2 linked regions of the Pelodiscus sinensis genome follow. Each later gene encodes a partner of the first gene's protein in a complex. Links are inferred from orthologs where the notes say so. Each region holds a gene or a part of one and is shown on either strand. Other genes may lie near its edges.

Evidence for each region.
Region 2: the proteins of PTPN6 (region 1) and NKG2-A/NKG2-B type II integral membrane protein-like are in contact, whole or in part, in an NMR structure (PDB 2YU7), measured with the Homo sapiens proteins. The link is inferred for Pelodiscus sinensis from reciprocal best matches to the Homo sapiens genes PTPN6 and KLRC1. Residues at the interface, in NP_002822.2 of Homo sapiens: Gly117, Gly118, Glu121, Arg136, Ser138, Leu139, Ser140, Val146, Thr165, His166, Ile167, Lys168, Val178, Gly179, Gly180, Leu181, Glu182, Ile199, Glu200, Glu201, Ala202; in NP_002250.2 of Homo sapiens: Ile38, Thr39, Tyr40, Ala41, Glu42, Leu43, Asn44, Leu45, Gln46, Lys47.

What each region holds. Positions count from the first base shown.
Region 1 is NC_134711.1:138,128,929-138,139,126, reverse strand, and holds the start of PTPN6 (tyrosine-protein phosphatase non-receptor type 6), read left to right. Parts: upstream 1-5,396; 5' UTR 5,397-5,551; intron 5,552-5,752; 5' UTR 5,753-5,805; coding exon 5,806-5,819; intron 5,820-10,198. Other genes in the region: C1H12orf57 (protein C10), read left to right, coding at 1,846-1,900, 2,082-2,258, 2,563-2,711. UniProt on the Homo sapiens protein: Tyrosine phosphatase enzyme that plays important roles in controlling immune signaling pathways and fundamental physiological processes such as hematopoiesis.
Region 2 is NC_134711.1:135,402,999-135,414,107, forward strand, and holds the start of NKG2-A/NKG2-B type II integral membrane protein-like, read left to right. Parts: upstream 1-7,020; 5' UTR 7,021-7,155; intron 7,156-11,109. UniProt on the Homo sapiens protein: Immune inhibitory receptor involved in self-nonself discrimination.

The DNA.
Region 1 (10,198 bases):
TTGTGTGAGAAATATGTGAATGAAGCTAAGTGTGGAATATCACTGAGCCTCATTTGCATACCTAATGAGCTGCCATTTTGCAGAAGAGGCTGTTGCGCCAGAAGGAGCTGTCTACACTGTCCCTTCTTGCGCAAGAAAAACCCTCTTTGCGCAATGCCGCTATGCGGATTATTTTCAGGAATAACAGCATTGCGTAAGAGGGTTTTTCTTGCGCAAGAAGGGGCAGTATCGACAGCTCCTTCTGGCACAAGAGCCTCTTCTGCAAAAATGGTGGTTCATTAGGTATGCAAATGAGGCTCAGTGATATTCCACGCTTAGCCTCATTCACATATTTCTTGCGCAAGAAGTCGCAAGTGTAGACATAGCCCTGGGGCTCCCCACTCAGAACTCCTGGGACCTGTCTGAGGGTGGTTGCCAGCCTGGAGGACACAACGGTGATAGCGCTCGGAGCAGAAAGGGGGACAATGCCCAGAACTAGGGTTGCCAGATATTTTCACAAAAAATCCTGAACATGGCAGGAAAAAAATTGGTTGATTAAAAAAACGAAGTTGCTAGGAAACTGCACCTTTAAAAATCTCTGTGCTACTTGCTTCCCCTCTCCCCCAATCACTCCCACCCAGGTCAGACAGCAGGGCTACATCTACACTGGCATGATTTTGCGCAAATACTTTTAATGCAAGAGTTTTTGCGTTAAAGTATTTGCACAAGAGAGCATCTACAGTGGCATGTGCCTTTGCACAAGAGATGTGCTTTTTGCACAAAAGCATCCGTGCCAGTGTAGATGCTCTCTTGTGCAAGAAAGCTCTGATGGCCATTTTAAACATTGGGCTTTCTTGTGCAAGTAATTCTGTCTACACTGGCCTCTTGCGCAAGAGGGCTTACCCCTGAGCTGGAGCGTCAGAGTATTTGGGCAAGAAGCACTGATTTCATACATTAGAATGTCAGTGTTCTTGTGCAAAATCTTGCCAATGTAGAGATAGCCAAACTATCAGATATTTTACATGTCCAGTATTTTTTTTTTTTAAACCAGAGGTGCCATGAATAACTGACTGTTCAGGCAAAAACAGGCCACCTGGCAACCCTATGCAGTGCCCATGGTGCCAAGCTGCCTTATGAGCTCTGCAGAGGGGCGGAGAGCAGCCCCCAACTCAGTGCTAGCCAGTACAGCGCGTAAACAAACGCCGCAGGCAGGGCACTGCTGTGCACTCGCCGGGCGCCTCTATCACTCTCCTGCCTAGTGCAAGCTGCCCTGAGAGCACGTGCCCCGCCCCGCGCCGGGCTTTTTTCCACCGGCCCCGCCGCCACTGTCGTAAGGGGGCGTGGCCTTTGCGTTTTTACACCAATAGGAAATCACCTCATCTGCATAGCGCTAATTTGTTCAATACACGCTCCTTTGCGGGGCTCACAGCACGTGGCATGTGGTTTTGGGGGCCGGTGCTTTGGGGGGGGGGCTGTGCAGAGTCCGCAGGAGCTCTACACGCCCTTGCTTGGAAGTCACCCTGAGCGAGCGCGCACTGGCAGCCGCTGGGGGCCCGCGCTCGGGCTCCTCTCCGCAGTGATTTCAGCTCTTTTAGTATTTGTCTAGCAGGCTCTCTGCGCTGCCAGGGAGCCTCACTCCGCGGTGAATGTCAGACTGGGGCCGCTCGCGCTCTGCTGGGTGTGGGCGGCGGGGAGCGATGGGGGCTCCCGGGCTGCACCCCCAGCGCGAGATGCCTCCCGCCCACAGGCCCGGCAGCGCAGCCGCGCGGCCCCTGTCCCGCCCCGTCTGCTGCGGCCCCTCCCGGCCCCCTGACGTCAGCGGCGCCGGCTCGCGCCCGCGGTCCCGGCTGGCGCCTGCAGCGCCTCATGGCTGCCCCGGCCCCCGCCGCGCCGGGCTCGCTGAGCGCCGAGCAGGCCAAAGGTGAGGGCGGGTAGGAGCCCCCGCGCGCCCCGACTTGCGCCCCCCCCCCCGCAAATCGCGACTTGCACTGCAGAGCGGGGAAGGCGGGTCCCGGCCCAGCGGCCCCGCGCCCCATTGCCCTCGCAGCGCGCTGCACCCGGGGCGGGCTGGGCGGGGCTCACTGCTCTGCCTGTCTCCCCAGTGGCGCTGGCCGAGGTCATCAAGGCCTTCGGCTCCCCGGAGAACGCGCAGCGCATGGAGGAGGCCCGGGACAACGCCTGCAACGACATGGGCAAGATGCTGCAGTTCCTGCTGCCCGTGGCCACCCAGATCCAGCAGGACGTGATCAAAGCCTACGGCTTCAGCAGCGATGGGGAAGGTGGGTTCGCCGGGCCGGGGCAGAGCCGGGCTGCGGTGGTTTCCCTTTCCGGCCTTTGTGTCGGAGGCTCCCGCCGAGGGCAGGCAGCACAAAGCGGTGTGGGCCCGGGGAAAGGGCAGTGCAAGCAGCACTTTAGTGCAGCCGTTGGACCCACATGTGCAGTATTCTCCACCTGCAGCTCCTTTGTCTGGCCACAGGATGGTATCCTTGGAAAACCTACCGGGGGGGGGGGGGGTACTGGGGAATACTGTCACCAGCTAGATCTCTTCCCAGCAGTTTTCTTCCTTCCCCTTCTTTCTCTTAGGTGTCCTGAAATTTGCCCGACTGATAAAATCTTATGAGTCCCAGGATCCTGAGATTGCAAACATGTCTGGGAAGCTAAAAGCCATGTTCCTGCCTCCAATGACACTGCCCCCACACGGGGCTGGGACAGGGGGTGTGCCTGTCTCCTGAAAACCGGGACCCTCTGCTGGCCTTCTTGGGCCAAGTCATGCCACACTACATGCCTGTGAGAGTTTTTGACAAGTGGGATTCCAGGACTGCTCTCCACCACTCATCAGTGTGCTACAGTTTGCCAGAAGAGCCCCCTACTTCTTGGAAACTCTGCAGCAATTGGTTTCTTTGTGCATCTTTGTTTTTTGAGCTTGTGAATAAAAGCTGCTTTGAAAATGTCCCCATGTGTTTCTCAGTGAGTGTGTACCCAGTCTGGATCTTAGCGCTGCTTCCTGGGAAAGAGAGCACGCCCCACTGAATGTAAGGTAGAAGGGAGCTCTGGTTACCTCTCCCCTCCCCCTTATTGGTAATCCCCTAATCTGTGTAGTTCTGCCTTCAGGAGATAAGTACCTTGCATGAGCTAAATTTAAGGAAATCAAGATGTGTGGTATGGGGAATCGCAATCTTAGGCCTGGAAGCAGAAGGCTTGAAACCAATTGACACTTTCTAAACCTCCAACCTTGTAAATCCTACAGGGAGTGCTGTAGGCCAGGACATAAGGCAGCAGAGTGAAGGGGGCTCAGGACTGGAACATCAGGCATTTGGGGTGGGGCTCCGTGTATCTCTCAACCTGTCAAGGCTCCATTGTTCAATGCAATGGCTGGGTCTAGTTTAGAAAAGTAGATTGTGTTTAAAAATATTGCAGCAGGCACTTCTTCACTAACACATTTTTACACAGTAGTTTAGGCGTGTTTAACATAGTTAGAGGGATCTTAGGGTTTACCACCGCAAGCTTACGTGTTTTAAAAGGTGTCAAACTCTGTCTTCTTAAAAGATAACATTTAACAATGCATTGTTCAAAACATATTTGCTAAGGTATTTGTAAATACAATTTAGTCTTCTAGTCCAGGCAAGGTTAGACAAACAATATGTGACAAAGACCCCAAATAAGGGGAACAATAACATATTGATGCAGGAAATTTAAGAAGTTTCACAATTATTGAGCATGAAGGTCTTTATAATTCAGGGTTGGTCTACAGTAGAAAATAAGATTGATCTAGCTATGTTGCTCAGGGATGTAACGCCCTTAACTGACTTGGTTAAGCTAACCCAAGTCCCTGTGCAGGCAGCACTAGATTGATGGAAGAATTCTTCCATCACCCTACGTAATGCCTCTCAGGGAGGTGGATTTTCTGCAGTAATGACAGAATCCCCCCATTGCTGGTAAGGGTCTACCCCAGTAAGGGGCAACCTGGGCTGGTGAGTGGGCCGCATGAGAGATCCTCCTTCATCTCAGTGGGTCACAAAATTGTCCTAACCAAGACAGTCTCCCAGGATAGAGTTGTTTTGCAAACTGCACTAATGTAACTAGAATTTGTGGGGTGTGCCGATTGAACCACAGCAGTGCTTTGGCTGGATGCAGAGAGCGTGCACAGCTCTGTCAGTGTTGTCATGTGCAGTCAGCAGACGCCTCATGTCATGTGCCCTTGCTTTTCATGCGTGTCACTTTAGTAATACGAGTAGGGAAAAAGTGTGGACGAAAACCAGCAGAATCTCAATCCTGTGTGTGGGCAACAGTAAACAAAATGGCTCATGGGCCATGCACAGAATTCCAAAGGGCCTCAAGTTGTTCACAACTGGTCTGCACTGACCCAGGACAATAGCATTTTAAATGCAGACCTCCAGGTTGTCTTCAGGGGCTGATAAAAGGGACCTGTGGTAGGAGTAATCTGTAATATTTTATGTGTAGACATAGCTTCAACTTCATGATTCTGCATTTCTGGTGTAATCACTTTTTAAAAATAAAAGGGGGCACTAAATTTGTAGGGGATGTAGGTATTCTGGGATTTGAGTGACACTGGCAGGGCTGTTTGGGGAGCTGGATTAGCAGGGGGCTGCAGGGCAGGGCTGAGGGGCACTGGCAGGGCTGTGAGGGGAGCCCAGGGCTGGAATAGCAGGGACTGCAGGGCAGGGCTGAGGGGCACTGGCAGGGCTGTGAGGGGAACCCGGGGCTGCAGGGCAGGGCTGAGGGGCACTGGCAGGGCTGTGAGGGGAGCCCAGGACTGGAATAGCAGGGGGCTGCAGGGCAGGACTGAGGGGCACTGGCAGGGCTGTGAGGGGAGCCCAGGGCTGGAATAGCAGGGGGCTGCAGGGCAGGGCTGAGGGGCACTGGCAGGGCTGTGAGGGGAGCCCAGGACTGGAATAGCAGGGGGCTGCAGGGCAGGACTGAGAGGCACTGGCAGGGCTGTGAGGGGAGCCCAGGACTGGAATAGCAGGGGGCTGCAGGGCAGGACTGAGGGGCACTGGCGGGGCTGTGAGGGAAGCCCAGGGCTGGAATAGCAGGGGGCTGCAGGGCAGGGCTGAGGGGCACTGGCAGGGCTGTGAGGGGAGCCCGTGGCTGGAATAGCAGGGGGCTGCAGGGCAGGGCTGAGGGGCACTAGCAAGGCTGTGTGCGGAGCCTAGGATTGGAAGGGCCAGGAGCTGTGGCTCAGGTGGCTATTTCCAGATGACAGAGGAGTTTAATTTGTTTTTATCCTCTGTGATACTGTTAGTTCTCCAGGGAGGCTGAAGGTTTGGTGGGGAGGAGGCAGGGAGAACAGGCAGTGCCTACCTTGCTCACCTGCTCTCCTGCCCATGTGTCTCCTCCCCCACCCGCCTATTTATTTATTAACTACCGCTCAGGGAGAGATTTGCAAGTGGTGATCTGGGAAGCCCTTTGTACTGGGCCTGGTTGCCTCAGCTCAGGCTTCCTCATCTCTCTGCTCCAGCTCACCCTCAACTATTGTGACCATGTGAGGGAGGAAGTATTAGGGCTGGAGAGTAAGCGGCATTCAGAGCCTTACTGAATGGATTAGATGCAGGTGAGTCGGGAATCTTACTAGCCGTGATCTAGGTCCAGTTACCTTTTTGTTCCTGGCTCTATGAAATTAGCTATGCTTTCCCTCTGGGTGCTACATCCACCCCCATGCCTGAGTCTGTAATGAGCTTCAGTCCTGGGCCCCTCTCTCAGGAAATTCTTCCTGTTTCCTTGGTATCAGCAGCATTGTTTGTCTCCTTTTCAGTAGGGTCCTTGGGCTGAGGGTTCTCAGCGAGGATCCCTGTGACCAGGGGCCTGATGCCATCCTGTGGGTGAGTGTATTTCTCCAAGGGGTTTCTTGGCTGTAGGGTTTGTGATGGGAGAAAGAGCTGGGAAGTGAGAGGCAGATGTGGGGAAAGCAGCAATGGAGAGGGTGGGCAAGGGGGCTATAGGAGAGATGGGGGTCAGTACTGCTCACCCTAGCAAAAGTAAAGCTCGTTTGTTCCAAGGCACAGATGGGAAGGGACTGGCCCTTGTCCTAAAGCAAATCAAAGACAAAGCCATAATTTTGCCAGAGGCCAGGCCTCTCCCCACTTTAATTCACTGGCCCTGCTCCTCCTCTGGAAATGGAGCCCAGGAGTTTGGGCACTCGCCAGACATATTTGCTGTGCAGACTTCAGCAGACAGCACTGCAGGAAAGCACCTTCAGAAAGCTTCCTCTACAGCCAAGAGGGCTGGCAGCTGAATTGTTTAGAAACAGCTGCTGAAATTCTGTAATCTGCAGAAGGGTGTGGGTTCCACAGTGTCACGAATCATGGGGTCCCCTCCACATGGCTCCCAGGCTGACTTCTAAACCAGGATCAGTACCGCAAGAAATTAAAGTGCTGTAGAACTGTCAGAAGGGAATGAGGAGCCTTAATGAAGTCTCCTCTCCCTAGCTGCTCCCATGCCCATGGTACAGGAACACTGAGGCATAGCTCCAGTGCTGTCTTCCTGGCTGTCTTCCACTAATGTCCTTTCTCATCTGGAGGAAGGTCCAGGCAGAGTATGAACATAGGTAGCAATTGCCAGATCTGGTCTGTCCAGTTCAGTCTCCTGTCTCTGACAGTGGCCACAGTCAGCTGTGTTGGATGAAGGTGCAGAAAACCCCTTAGTTTATTGTTCAATAATGTGTTTCCACGAGGGGTTTCTTTCTTATCCATCTTGGTTCCTGGGTTATGATCAGAAGCAGGAGACATTCTATCCTTCTGTTTTCTCTGATCAAAAGTAAGTGTGAGGGTTCTGGTCATTCATATAACGTTCAGTCCTTTTATGAATCCTGCTATGCTCATCAAGCGGGGAACGAGGGGGCAGTTGCCCCCGGGCGCAATGCTAGAGGGTGCCAATTTAGTCCCCCTCTGTTCCCCCTGTCGTCCCTCAGCTCTCCTGCTCCTCCTCTGCCCACCGCCATTGGTTGGAGCCTCCTCTCCACCCCTAGCCTCACCTTCCTCCATGTCTGCCGATGGGTTAGTGTGTCTAGGGGCCTGGCCCCAGACGAGGGCACAGGGGAAAACACGGTACAAGCTCCCCCCCCGCCCAGGGTCGGGCTCAGTTGTGCACCTGATTTGGGGCCCCGCCGGGCAGAGGGGTGTGTGGGGTAATTTTGCTTTTGCCCCCGGGCACACAGCACCCTCACTCATGGGGTCAGAGAGACAAGGTGAGTGAGGTAATATGTGTTACTGGACTAGTTTCTGTTGGAGATAGAAGCAAACTTTTGAGCTGCTTTGCCAGAAGAGGAAACCTAAATGAAGTGCCAATTAGCATTTTCTCATGCTTCATTTGTGTAATCTCTTCCCATCCATTTTTGCACAAGAGGTTTTTGCACAAAAACATGCAGTGTGGACGGGGAGAGGCATAAGGATCTTGTGCAAAAAGGGTGTTTTGTGCAAAAAGGAAACGTCCACGCTGCATGTTTTTGCGCAAAAACCTCTTGCACAAAAACGGATTGGAAGAGATTACACAAATGAAGCACAAGAAAATGCTAATCAGCGCTTAATTTACATTGCCTCTTCTGGCAAAGTGCATAGTGTAGACGTAGCCCCAGTGTATACAGTGCTAGATCCACAGGAGAATTCTCCTGTCAACCCAGCCACTGCTTTTCTGGGAGATGGAATACGTATGCTGAGAAGAGAACTACAACCCGCTAACATAGGTAGCGTCTTTCTTCACTAAAGTGCTACAGTGGCAAAGTGACATGACTCAGAATTAAAGACTAGACAAGACCTAGAGAGAGAGATTTACTACACTGACAGAAAAACCCCTTCTGCCACTGTAGAATTTTCCCGGTGAGTGCTCCCATGGGGTTGGGCCTGTTGACGGAAGTGGCCACTGCAGCGGTGCTGGCAGTGTAGACATGGACTTTTTTTCATCGATGTAGATTAGCGGTTCCCAACCTTTTCCAGAGGGGGACCCATTCCGACAATTCAGGAAGACTTGGTGACCCAGGGCAATTCACAAAAAGTCTCCTGGGGAGACACCTGGTGACCCTTTTGAAATGTAATGGTGACCCATAGGTTGGGAAACCCTGATGTAGATAATAGGCAATTTGGGGCAGAGGCTGTACCTGTGTCTGATATGAACGTGTTGCCTAGCGCACTGCACTCCCAGTCTCTAGTCGCTGCCATACTGCTGCTGTGCCAGGTCTCTTTCTTGTCTCCTCTTACCTGTTACTTCTCTGAGCAGTCCCAGTCTTTTCAGACGTGAGAGAGTAGCTAGAGCAGAGCGCAGCATTGCAAGTGAGGGCAATCCCACTGATTGGCGTGACAGCACTGGGATAGGACCAGTATTTTTCTCCAGTCCATTGGGCTGTATCTTATAGCTTTGCTTCATGCTTTGATGGCTTCTGCCCACTAAGCAGAGGTTTTCATTGAGCCTCCGCAAGGACACCTGGATTGCAGTTAATTTCAGTCCAGTTAGTTCAAAAGGATCTCACAAAATGAGTGACTGCTCAACAAAATGGCAGATGAAATTCAGTGTTGATAAATGCAAAGTAATTCACACTGGAAAACCTCATTCCCTAGCTATCCATTGCAAATGATGAGGTCTAAATTAGCTATTACCACTCAAGAAAAAGATCTTAGAGTCATTGTGGATAATTCTCTGAAAACATCCATTCAGGCTATATCTACACTACAGGGTTTTTGCGCAGAAACCCACGGAGCGTCCACACCTCAAGCAGGAACATGTAGGCAGCTGGAAGCAAATGCTGCAGGAACTGCAGCATGGCCGTGTGGGGCTGTCACCTGCCCAGGGGCAGTGCCCACTCTATAGCACACACCAAGCAAAAAGCTGTGGTGTCCCCAAAAAGAACAGGGCAACCACAGCAGGCACTGCTGAAGCTTTGCTGTCCCTCAACAGAGGTCCACAAGCAGGCAGCAGAAACAGAGAAGTGGCTGTCCAGGGGGATCCTTTAAGCATGTGTCGTAACCTAAAGCCTAGCTAGAACTGGTTCCAGGTGGCTTTATATGTGAAAAAGCATCCAGTGAGTGTGGACGCTCTCTTTCACAAAATTGCATCACTTTTTCGATTTCGATGCACTTTTGCAGTGTGGATGCGCTCTTGCACAAGAAGTTTTTGCAGAAGATCTCTTCAGTGAAAAGCTTCGTGCACAAGAATCCTGCAGTCTAGATGTAGCCTCAGTGTGAAGTGGCAGTCAAAAAAGCGAACAGAAGTTTGGGAATCATTAAGAAAGGGGTAAGAATAAGACAGAAAGTACCTTAGTGCCTCTATAGAAAGCAATTAAATCTTTAATACTGTGTGTAGATGTGGTTGCCTCATTCAAATAAAGGTATATTGGAATGGGGAAAGGTTCAGAAAAGGGCAACAGAAATGATGAGGAGTATGGAACAGCCACAGGAAAAGAGATTAATAAGACTGGGACATTTCAATGTGGAAAAGATATAACTAAGGGGAGATGTGATGGAGGTGTATAAAATCATGACTGGTGTGGATAAGTAGATAAGGAACACAAGAAGTAGGAGTCACCAAATGAAATTAATAGGCATCAGGTTTAAAACAAAACATAAGGAAGTTTTTCTTTACACAGCGCACAATCAGCCTGTGGAACTCCTTGCCAGAGGATGTTGTGAAGACCAGCACTTTAACAGGGTTCAAAAAGAACCATAAGTTCATAGCCATTGCTGGACCTATCATCTATTGGGCAGGATGGGCAGGAGTGCTGTCCCTATTTGCCAGAAGCTAGGAATGGGCAATAGAAGATGTCTTGCTTCTATGTCTTGCTGCTTTCACTCTTATTCAAAGGTCAGCCTGCCTGAATGGACTCTCATAATATCCATGCTTAAATGTCCTCCGTTATGAACTTGAAGATCTTAATTGCTTTACTTTTGACCTAATGGCCCCAATGACTAGTATCCTCATTTATTTTTAAACTTTCTTTACTGTCACTGTGCCAGTTTTCGATATAGGCTTGATCCAGGAATCACTAGGTGAAATTCTCTGACATACGTGAAACAAGTAGGCAGACTAGATGAGCATACTGGTCCCTTCTGACCTTGGAATCTATGAAGACCATGAGAATGGCCATACTGAGTCAGACCAATTGTCTCTGTCTAGCTTATTATCATGTCTCCAATAGCAGCCAGTACCAGAGCTTCAGTGGGAGTGTACTGAACAGGAGAGATCCAACCCTGTCATTCTTTTCTGTCAGTCAGAG
Region 2 (11,109 bases), about 2.7 Mb from region 1:
TAATGTAAAATAAAAACACCTGTTGTGACAAAACAAATTTCTTTTATTTTACATAACTGGGGTGGGGGGAGGGAGGAATGAGGGTAGGAGATGGGAGGGGGAAACCTGGGAGGAGGGAGCTGGAAGGGAAGGGAAGGGAAGGGAAGGGAAGGGAAGGGAAGGGAAGGGAAGGGAAGGGAAGGGAAGGGAAGGGAAGGGAAGGGAAGGGAAAGCTCAGGGTTTGGGGTATTGCTGGCTCTCCCGTCTCGCAGCACTGCAGGTGCGGAGGCGTCGGGGGGCAGTGGATGTGAAGGGGGGGCAGGAAGGACGGGGGTAGGCCGAGGAAGTGGGAGGGGGAGCTGGAGTGGGAGGAGGTGCAAGAGTTGGGGCGGCCGCAGGGGCTGGAGCAGGAGGAGGCAGGAACCTGTCCACCGGGGTCTGGAGGTGACCTCTGAGGGCACGGCCCTGCTCCTCCAGTGCCTGCAAGCTCTGCTGCCGCGGACCCAGTGCTCCTGGTTGCAGAGCTGCTGCCCCAGTAGCCGCAGGTGCCACCGCTGGTACTCCTCCTGGTTCCTGGCGCGTCTGCTGGCCTGGGTGTGGGTGGCTGTTGCAGGTGAAATGGTGCGCCCTGCAGTCCCAGGTGCTGCGGCTGTGGTGAAACAAGAGCAGTGGTCAGTTCTCCCTGGGGACACAGTGGGTGAAACCCAGCTCCCCTCTGCAAGGCGAGGTCGGCGTGTGGGGAACGGGCCAGGGCCCCTGCATGACACCCAGCTGCTGCTCCGTGGTGGGCAAGGCCCAGGCACATGGTCTCTGGGCTCTCTCTCCCCCCACACCTCCCATACATATAAGGGGAGCATGATGGCTCTCACATGTGGAGCCCTCCTCGGCCTTGGACGACACAGCAGATGTGCTCTGTGGGATGACTCGGGGGGGCTGGGATCTTGGGCAGGCTCCCTGCAGGCTCCTGCGGCTCCTAGCTCTCGGCATCCTCCTCTTTCTCCGTCTCTGCCCCGGGGTCGACCACCACCTGGGGGGCATGGACTGCGTGAGACCCCAGGATGTGGTCCAGGGCCTCAAAGTGAGGGCAGGCCTCTGGGTTGGCCCCTGGTTGGGAGGCTCTGGAGCAGGCCTGCTGCAGGTCCTTAATTTTGCAGTGGACCTGCTCCTGGATCCGTATGTGGCCTCTGGCGGCCAGGCTGGCGGCCATGTGGCTGTAGAAGGCCGTGTTCCTGTGCCTAGTGAGGGTCGTGGACGTTGGAGGCCTCCCCCCAAACCTCAGTGAGGTCAACGATCTCCACACTAGACCAGATGGGCGCCCGCCTTTTGCAACTCTGTGCAGGGTCCTGGGAGCCGTCAGCCTGGTCCTGGGAAGAGGCGGAGGGCTGGGTGGCATCGGGTGGCTGGCTCATCTTGTGCCAGGTGCAGGGTCTGCTGGCTGGGTGCTGGCAGGCTTGCAACTGGCACGAGCACCGTAGCCAGCCCGTGCCCCTTTAAGGGTTCCTGTGCTGGGAGAGGGCAGAAGAGTCTCCCTGGTTTGGCCCAGAATGGGCTACACAGACCTTAATTCAAACTACTTAATTCGAACTAGGTGTTAGTCCTCATAGAATGAGGTTTACCTAGTTCGAATTAAGCACTCCACTAGTTTGAATTAAATTTTGAAATAGCGGTTTGCATGTATAGCCACTATTAAAGTTAATTCGAACTAATGGCTGTAGTATAGACATGCTTCGTGACATACCCTATGACTTGGTCAGAAGTCAGGCCAAGCAGTCTGTAAGGGTATGTCTACACTAGCCACTTCATTGCAGGAGGAGTAACAGTTAATCCAAACTAAGGACTTAGTTTGGATTAACTTCTGACTGCCACGTGTAGCTGCAGGCAGTCAGTTTGAACTAAGGAGATTTTAAAATGACGCCTGCCTGGGAACATGCAAATGAAGCCCGGGATATTTAAATCCCAGGCTTCATTTGCAAGTTCGAATGCCTACATTAACCACCCTAGTTCGAACTAGGGGTCTCGTGTAGACATACCCTGGGTCTCTTTAAAGAGGCAGGCTATTAAAAGAAATATTTGAAGTGAAAGGGGCTAACCACTCCTGTGCCAGATGTAGATGAATCCTATTTCTCTATTAAAACACATGGCTCAGAGCCCTTACATCTGCCAGTGGTTCTACTGCAGTCACAGATCACCAGGCCCAGGTACTTACCATTTCCTGGGCAGCACAGATCTATAGTAGACATGATCCTTCTGCAGATTTCAGGACAGAGCACACTGTACCTGGACACCTTTCACTAGAGGATCTCATGCTCAAAGGAACCCAGTATAAGAGGCTGCACATCTACTCTATCTTGGTCTTGGTTTGTTATAAATTAATCCTTCCAGTGGGTCTGAAATAAAAAATTAATACCTACAGATGTGTCTTGCTTCATCCTACAATGTGCCTTATTATGCACTACAATTACAGGGAGAAGTGTTTTTCTGACACTGCTTAGTGTGCTCACTGGGCACTTAGGACTTTATCAGCATGAGCCAAGGACATTTTCTGGCAAAGTGCTGCAGGCAGTGCACATTCCCAGCCCAGCTCTGTTCTGGTGCAACTAAATCAACACTTAAGCTTTGAAAACTCCTAAATGGCAAGAGCCCAGACCAGACCACCACATTCAGGGTATGTTTTTCTCTTATCAGCCCTGAAAGCAATGTAATGGTTTGGATAGTTATGTTGATAAACCTAGACACCAGGAAGGGCTGTTATTGGATTGGAGAAAGGCTTTCTGTGATTGAGGAGCCAGTAAGGGAAACTGAGGCCACAGCACCACCCTTGGCCTCTAGGGGAAACTTAGAAGGCAGCCCATCCTTCTACACTGCTTGGATTGGAGGGAAAACTGGTATCTCCAGCAACTCACAGTTCATGCACCAAGTTGTCTCAGCCCTTTCCTGGGTCTCATGTGTCCTCTCTCACCATGGAAGGAGAAGAGAACTCCATGGGAGCATGGCTGTCTCAGTCAAGTGGGCAGTGTAGCATGACCTCTCCTTTCAGCACAGTGCACTGTTGCCCCCAGGAGACCCCACTGGCCCACAAGGGAAATGCAGCCACTATTAAATCCTCCTTCTCTTTCATTACTTGACTTATGGAGAAAGCCTCATGTCCCATGCAGGCCTTGGACAACTTCCCCATTATTGGAATTTCTTTTGTGTAGCCTGAAAGGAGTGGACTAGGTCACATGACCTAGCAGGAGGGCCAAGCCACACATGGGTTGGAGAACAGCAAAACCAAAGTGGCTACCAACAGGAGTGCCAGGAAAGAAGAGACTCTGCCCTGCCCTGCCCTGCCCTGCCCTGCCCTGCCTGATTACTGGGTGATGCCTGCAGGGAGAAATGCCCTTCACAGCTTGCTGTGTCCATGGTCAGGTAGATTGGTTTGTACTTGTGGCATGATCCAAATCAGGCTGAGAGTGGGAGATTGGTTTTAGCTGTGGAGGAGCAATGACAGCTCCAGTTCTTTGGCAAGTGATAGAAATGTAGCCGTGTTAGTCTGGTGTAGCTGAAACGTAAGACAGGACTATATAGCACTTTAAAGACTAACAAGATGGTTTATTAGGTGATGAGCTTTCATGGCCAGACCCACTTCCTGAGGTCAAATCGTGGACAATTGACAATTTTTTGGCCCACGAAAACTTCTTTGGCAAGAGCAGTGATATAAGCTGTGCAGGAGAGTGCTTTGAAACATGGCACAACCCATGTGGGTGAGCTTGTGTGTCTGCAACTAGGGTGAAGTTCACTGTTCTTGAAAAGACTTGAAGGGAAGTGATGTAACAAAGAGCTCTGTCCCAACCTCTCCCCTGGAAGGACCACCCACTGACTGCCCTCTCAGACCTACTTTCAATCCCATCTTGCCAGACAGAAAGTATACATGCCCACAGCACCCTAAGTCCTCTCCCATCCAACGCCGCTCGACTGTTTTAGTCTCAGATATTCATTTTTCTTTTGATTAAGATTTTCTTTTCCCCAAAATATAATAGCTGTCAGATGGTATCCAGACAGACATAGCTACCACCAGGGCTGGCCCAAGCCCTTTTGGTGCCCTGGGCACACGGCACATGTGTGGGCCTGCCTGTGGGGTGCAGGCCCACCCCCTCAGGGTGTGCGGGCCCGTGCGCACAGCGCATGCGTGGGTCAGCCATGGCCAGGCCGTGCAGGGCCCCGTGGCCATGGGGGGAAGTGAGTTGCTGGCCAGTGCCACGGGGCCGGCACTACAGGAGCCAGGCGCGTGGCACCTGATGGCAGCTGTAAGGGATGCTGTGCGCCCCTTATAGCTGCCATCAGGTGCCCCCCATTGGTTGGCGCCCTGGGCAGCTGCCCGGCTCGCCCATGCCTCTGTCCAGTCCTGGTTACTACAATGGGGGATAACACAAAGGTCTAGTCCATACGGAAGGGGAAAGTCGACTTAAGATTCGCTACTCCAGCTACATTAATTACGTCGCTGGAGTGGAAGTATTTTACATCATATTTTGGCGCCATCCACACAGCGGGAGGTGGATGGGAGCACACGCTCCCTTTGACTTCCTTTGCTCCTCATAGGAGTAGGACTGCTGGTGCCAATGGGGGAGCCCTCTCAGTTCCAATTAGCACATCTTCACTAGACCCATTAATTCAATCCCTGGAAGATCAACTGCATAGTATAGCGTAGACAAACCCAAAGAGCATCCAGTATTGTGCCGCTACAGACTCATTTGCATTCTCCTCTCCAGACTGCTTCATAGACCAAAAGTCCAGCACTCACCCAATCATTGCAGTAGCTTTGTTACAAATGTTCCAGCATATGAATAAATAAGGCTGGTAATGTCTGAAGCCCTTTTTTCTGGAAAAGGGGAAAAGTTTTTGAGGAAGTAATGGAAAAGTCAGTTAGACAAACTGGGAACAGGCTGTCATGAGTGGGGCCTGTACAGTCTAATCTAGTAGTCAGAGCAGACGTCAGGAGTCAGACCAGATCATTCCAGGAAGTCAGAGTCTGATGCAAGCCAGAAAGTAAAACTGAGAGTCAGACAGGGTGAAGATTCCGGGAGTAGCCGAGTTAGTCTGTTACAGAAAAAAACAGCAAGCAAATGGTCTGGTAGCACTTTATAAACTAACAAAACATGTAGATGGGATCATGAGCTTTCGTGGGCACAGCCCACGAAGTTACTAAAGCAGCTTGAAAGGGAGGCTGCAGAACTGAATTTAATGTACAAGTCTGATCCCTGCAACAGAGGTCTCAACAAAGACCTTGCTTGGATGACATGCTACATTCCACATTCTAATGACATAAAAAGCCAAGACCAAGACCAAAGCCAAGGCCAAGACCTTAAATGTATTTAGTACCCTCTCTATCAGCTTCATTTAGCATGGACTCTCTAATTCACAATTTCCCCCCTTTTTTGCCTTCTTTTTCCTTCTCTTCCCCCTCAATTCCCTTTCTTACTCCATTATTTATTTGGAAACTGGACTTCTTGCTCCATTCATCTGAAGAAGTGGACTGAGCCCATGAAAGCTCATCATCAAGCTACAAGTCTTGTTAGTCTCTAAGGTGCTGCAGGACTATTTGTTGTTTTTAAAGTTTTTTCAGTTACAGACTATCATGGCTCCCCCCCCCCCCCCCCAGACTTTAGATCAGTATTAGGTAGGTACAAAAGGAAAAGTCCTGAGAAGGAAGAACCCAGTTGTTTGGGTTAAATAGAGATTACAGACCAAACAGGGCTCCCAGCATTCCACCAATCAGATCCCAGGACATGCGACTTCTGTCAAAGTTCAGCTGCTATTCGGGAAACTGGTGACTGGATGCTGTATGGTAAATCATGGGTGCCTAGTACCACCGAGTCCTGTAAACCAGGGTTTAAGCCCCCTGGTTTCAGACACAGGATCCAGAAAAGATGTAATGGAGAAATGCTTGGTTAGGGTTAGTGGTCTACTTAATTGCAGAGAAACACTTTTCAGGTCTTGGTCACCGCACAAACAGCAAATTTTGCATATGAGTAACATACCTGAAAAATTTGCTATTTATGACATCATCAAAGCACAAAAAATATGTGATTCCTCAAACTAATAGCTGGGCTCCAAAGGCACAAGTCTATATGGGGGTCCTGGTATTGGTGTGTGTTATTGCCATGTGGAGGTCATGGTATTGCTTCTGTGCTCTTGCTGGCGGCAATGCTGACAGCAGCTGGGGGCAGGAGGCAGCAGCTGATGCCCAGGCACCCAGCTCTGAAGCTGCAGAGAAATAAGGGTGGTACAGAACTGACTTCAGAACTGAGTAGCTGGAGACCAGATTTCACTATCCATGATGCCATTTTCACAGCTTCAAATGTGATAGACCCCTAGTTATGGTTCAGGCAAAGACTAGAGATAGAGTTTTTCTTATTTCAATTTCATCCTCTTGCAGATAATCCAAGTGGCTTGGCCATAGTCCACAGGTCCACGATAGGTGGAGCCCTGCAAACCTGTGGATATCTGCTTTATATCCATTGGTATCATTTCTGCAGATATTGATGTGGATACAATTTTGTATCTGAAACCCTGCAAGTTTGCAGATATCTACTTTATATTCACAGATCACTTTTGCAGATTCAGATGTGGGTGAGGATACCAATTTTGTATCCATGCAGGGTTCTGAAGATAAATCCAGGTCTCCACTAGGCTACACTTGCGTCCCTGATAATGCAAGTAGGAAACATGAGCAGGGATTTCAGGCTACACTCTGATCTCATTTATGGAAGTATAAATACGAAGTGAATATATTCACCTAAATGTGGGTTTACACCAGAGTAATTAAAAAAAAGATTCTTGCCCCACGTTTTAAGAAATGCAGAGATACTAGCTAATCATTGATTGCTTAGACAACACTACATTTAATATTTAAGTGTCCTGAAGAAGATTAATTTAATAGGTAAACCTACAAAGAGAGAAGTTCCTGTGAGCGCTTAGTGAGGGGGCATCACATTTCAAACTAGCAGAGTGGAAACTTCCTGTGCAACTTTCAGATGGAGCATTGCAGAGCGTACAATTCTTCTCCTCCTGGTTCCTGTTGTCCATCTCTTTGAAAGCAGTGACGGGGTGAAACCAGATTGTCTCTCTCAGAAATATTTGTGGCGCACCTAAGTCTAGTTCCTGCACTCCAGTTTCCTATCAAAGAGAGCTCCAAAGGTATGAGAAGAACATTTTGTTGGGGTGATGGGGATCTTCATTGTTAGAGCATGTAGTTGTTGAAAGAGGTATAGTTTATTACTTTGGTATACTTCAAGGAATGAATGGAATTAGTCTGAAACAGACATGTGTTTGCAAATATTGTCTGTTTACAATATTTTTCTTCTCACTTAAATTTAAGAGTGACAGTATGGAATAGAGAACCATTTCCTTACTGGTATTGGTATTAAGTGACTGTGAAAGGATTTATTATTGCAGGCAAATCAGCATTTAAATTCTAAATTTCTGTATTTTATGCATCTCTGGTGCAGTGTATCTACTATATCCTTGAGGGAGTTTGCCTGTGAGCAAGCAAGCAAGTCTGTCTGTTTGGCTGTGTGTTCAAGAACTCCTTCTAAACAATTAAGAGCTAGGACCACCAACTTTGGTAGGCAGCTTCCTCTTACCCTAACTTAAAACAAGGTCAGTTTGGTTGTGCCAGGACATTGGGGTGTGCCTGGAATGCAATTGTTTTTCATACCATAAAAAGGGAGGGGATTGCTAGCAGGAACACTTATACTCTGTAATGATCACAAGAAGGCAGCAAGGGGCCAGAGATGGAGATGGGGACAGCTATAACTTCATCAGGACAGCAGAGGTCAGGGGTGGAGATAAGCTTCCCACTCAACCCCCAGCCAGTGTGGCCCTCACTGCAGCCAGCCCCATGGAGCTGCCACCCAGACAACATGGCCCTCACTGGCTCCTGAACTGGCTCCTCAGTCCCCTGCCTTGAGCCCTTCCTCATTCCCCAATGGTGACTGCAGCACCCACACATCCTCCAAACTCATGCCCTGAGCTCCTCCTCAAATCCCAAACCTGACTCCTACACCCCCTATACACACACCCAGCTCCCTGCCCTGAAGGACCCAATCAACACCAGAGAAATCTTCCAGTAGGACAACCTAGAAAAACAGTATAAGCTGAGGAAAACCAGAGATATATCTTGATTTTTTGTAAGGAATTTGATAGTGTTTCCCAAGAAATCTTACTTGGCAAATTAATTCAGATAATCTTGAATGTGAACATTATAAATGAATAAAACATTGTTTGAAATATTGTGAACCAAAGACAATGCTAAGTAAAAATGGACTGAGATTAATGGTAAGATCTTTATTATTTATCATCTTCAGAACTATATTGGAAACTGAATTATATAGCCTTCTAATGTAATCAAAATTAATGATTTTAAATGGAGGGGTGTTGCAAACACAAGATCAGACAGATAACACAGACCTACTTGGAAAGTTTAGCAAAGTGAGCACAAAATAATGTTAAAACTGTTACAGCAGATGTAGTAATCCAATACATGGCTATCCAGTGATAGGGAGAAATGAAACCAGTAATGATGAAAGTAACCTAGGAGTTAGAGTGGATAGCAGATCAGACATTTTGCAAAAAACTAGCTAACAGTTTAAGCATTGGAAGGTGCTCTGATTATAGGTCTGTGTCTCTATGGCCCCGATGAGTGTGGTATTCTTAGTGCATTTTCAATTTAGTGCACTGCCATTCTGAGTCATTATTTGAAGCTTTTATTATTTACTAGCATTACCCATCCCGTTGTGACAGTAGACGTACACTCAGGTTGGCCTGGCGCAGGGGGGCAAAAGCAGACCTAGCTGCCATTTTGCCCATAAAGGACCCATTGCTGCCATGGCCGTGTCCTCGCTGCTCTGCCCCCACCTCGCACTGCCCATGCACACCGTGCACTCACACCCACTGGAGAGCACCGGGTGCAGCTGGAGTTGGTTATCCAGGTGCCAGCGGGCTGTATCCTGACCAGCCTGCTGGCTCACAGCACTCCTGGCAAGGCGCGGCCTCCATTCCACGCTCAGCCCATGGGCTGCTAACTTAGCTGAACCAGTCTGAGGGGGAGGAGGGAGGATTTCAGGGTCACAGCAAGGGGAGGCATTTCGGGGCCAGGTTTGCAAGCATGGGGCATGGCGCAGTACTGAGGGGTTGACTCAGGTATTTAATGGGCTGCTGGGGGGAGTGGAGTGCCTAGGCTCACACCAGGAGGGGGCTGGATTCTGGCAGTTGCTTGGGTGACGGGACCTCTCAGACCCCACTTCAGTGTGAGTCCCCCCACGCCTGCTGACCATACAGCAGAGCAACCTCGCCCAAGTCCCGGCGCACTCAAGGTGGGCAAGAGGGACTGGGCAGTGACACAGGAGTGGCGCGCAGGTTGCACTGCCCGGGAGGGGTGTGCGCCATTACTCGGCAGTGGCTGGTTGGTCTCTGGCAACTCGGTGGGAAAGTTAAAGGCGCACAAAGTGCCTGAGCTGCACCTTCCTCCTCCCCCTCCCAATGCATGGCATCTTGTGACATGTCAGAGGCAGGGGAGTCTCGTGGGAAGTCTGTTCTCTGTGACAGAGGTCATGACGGATGCCTCTCCTTTTATAGCAGTACAGATTTGTTGAATGCCTACTGTGTAGCTGGCTGAACAGAACACAGGGACATGGGTCAAGATGTTCAAAAAAAGGGTACTAAAGGTAGCCTCCTAAATTCATAGTAGGCCTCTAAAAAGTAAATTCATGCTTAAACATACTGAGCACCTGTTGGTTCCCTCCAAGTCTATGGCTGCTATCGGGAGCTCAGCACTTCTCAAAACTAGGATACGTAAATAGGCACCTCCACACAGAATAGGAAGCCTAATTTTTATCCCTCATGTATGAACATTTTTGCCATGGACCCTGTCCCATAGATTTAGATAAATAAGGCTGCATCTAGATTGGCATGATTTTGCGCAAAAGTGACTGCCTGTCTACACTGGCCACGAGTATTTGCGCAAGAACACTGCCTTTGTAATGTACAAAATTAGTGGTTCTTGCACAAATATTCCGATGCTTCTGCTCAAGGATAAGCCCCCTTGCGCAATATACTTGTGCAAGAGGCCAGTGTAGAAAGCCACGTTAATTTCTGGCGCAAGAAAGCCTGATGGTTAAAATGGCCATTGGAGCTTTCTTGTGCAAGAGAGCGTCTACACCGGCACGGATGCTTTTGCACAAAAGCACATCTTTTCCATTAAAAGTATTTGCGCAAAATCATGCCAGTCTAGACACAGCCTAAGTGTTTAAAAAATAAAACAGAAAGTAGTGGGCAGATGGAAGGCATTCAGAAGATGCATTTTACTAAAGGGCCTGGAGGGACTAGCTTCTAAAGAAAGACTGAAAAACTGTGTGTGCAATGAACTTTGTTCAAGCCATGACTAAAAGGCGATACACAATTACTGCCTAGAAATACTGACAATGTGTCTGCACCTAGAAGCCAAATGGACTGTTCAGGGTGGTGTGAAATTGAAGAAATAGATGTAAAGCAAGAGTTCAGACAAAAGAATTTCCCAAGGTAGATGGTGGAAATCCCTTGACATGCAAGATTAGAAATGAGCCTGGATAAAGCCATGCAGAGAACCCTACAAGATGCTTAAGAGAGTAAGCTCCAGGCTGAGTACAGTGCAGGGCTGCTGTATCCACCATGCATGAGGTGGGGAGAGGGCCCTGTTTCACCAGCTAGGGAAGGGAAGCAATCTCCAGACCCAAGTTGCTTTTCATACCCTGCTTTGTTCTATATCACTATGGGAACAAACAACGCTAAGAAAAAAATCTCACCTGAAAATACTAGTCACAAGTCCTGGGGGCTTCCCTGCTTTGACCAGCCAGGGGGAAAGAGGAAACCTTTCCTTCCTGACTATCTGCACGCTGCTTCCTGAACTCCCTGGCATGTGAGAGGCAGGGATCCTTTCCCCATTCCAGACTACTGCTGTGTCCTTGTCACAGACTCCCAAAGGATGCATTATGCCAGATGTACCCAGAGCTGTCACGGAGCAGAATGCAGTCCCAGGGCTCTGCCTGTCTGGACTCAAGGAGCATTGTGCAATCAAGGGGAAGAGCAGGTGGAGGAGGTGCACATCTCAAATGG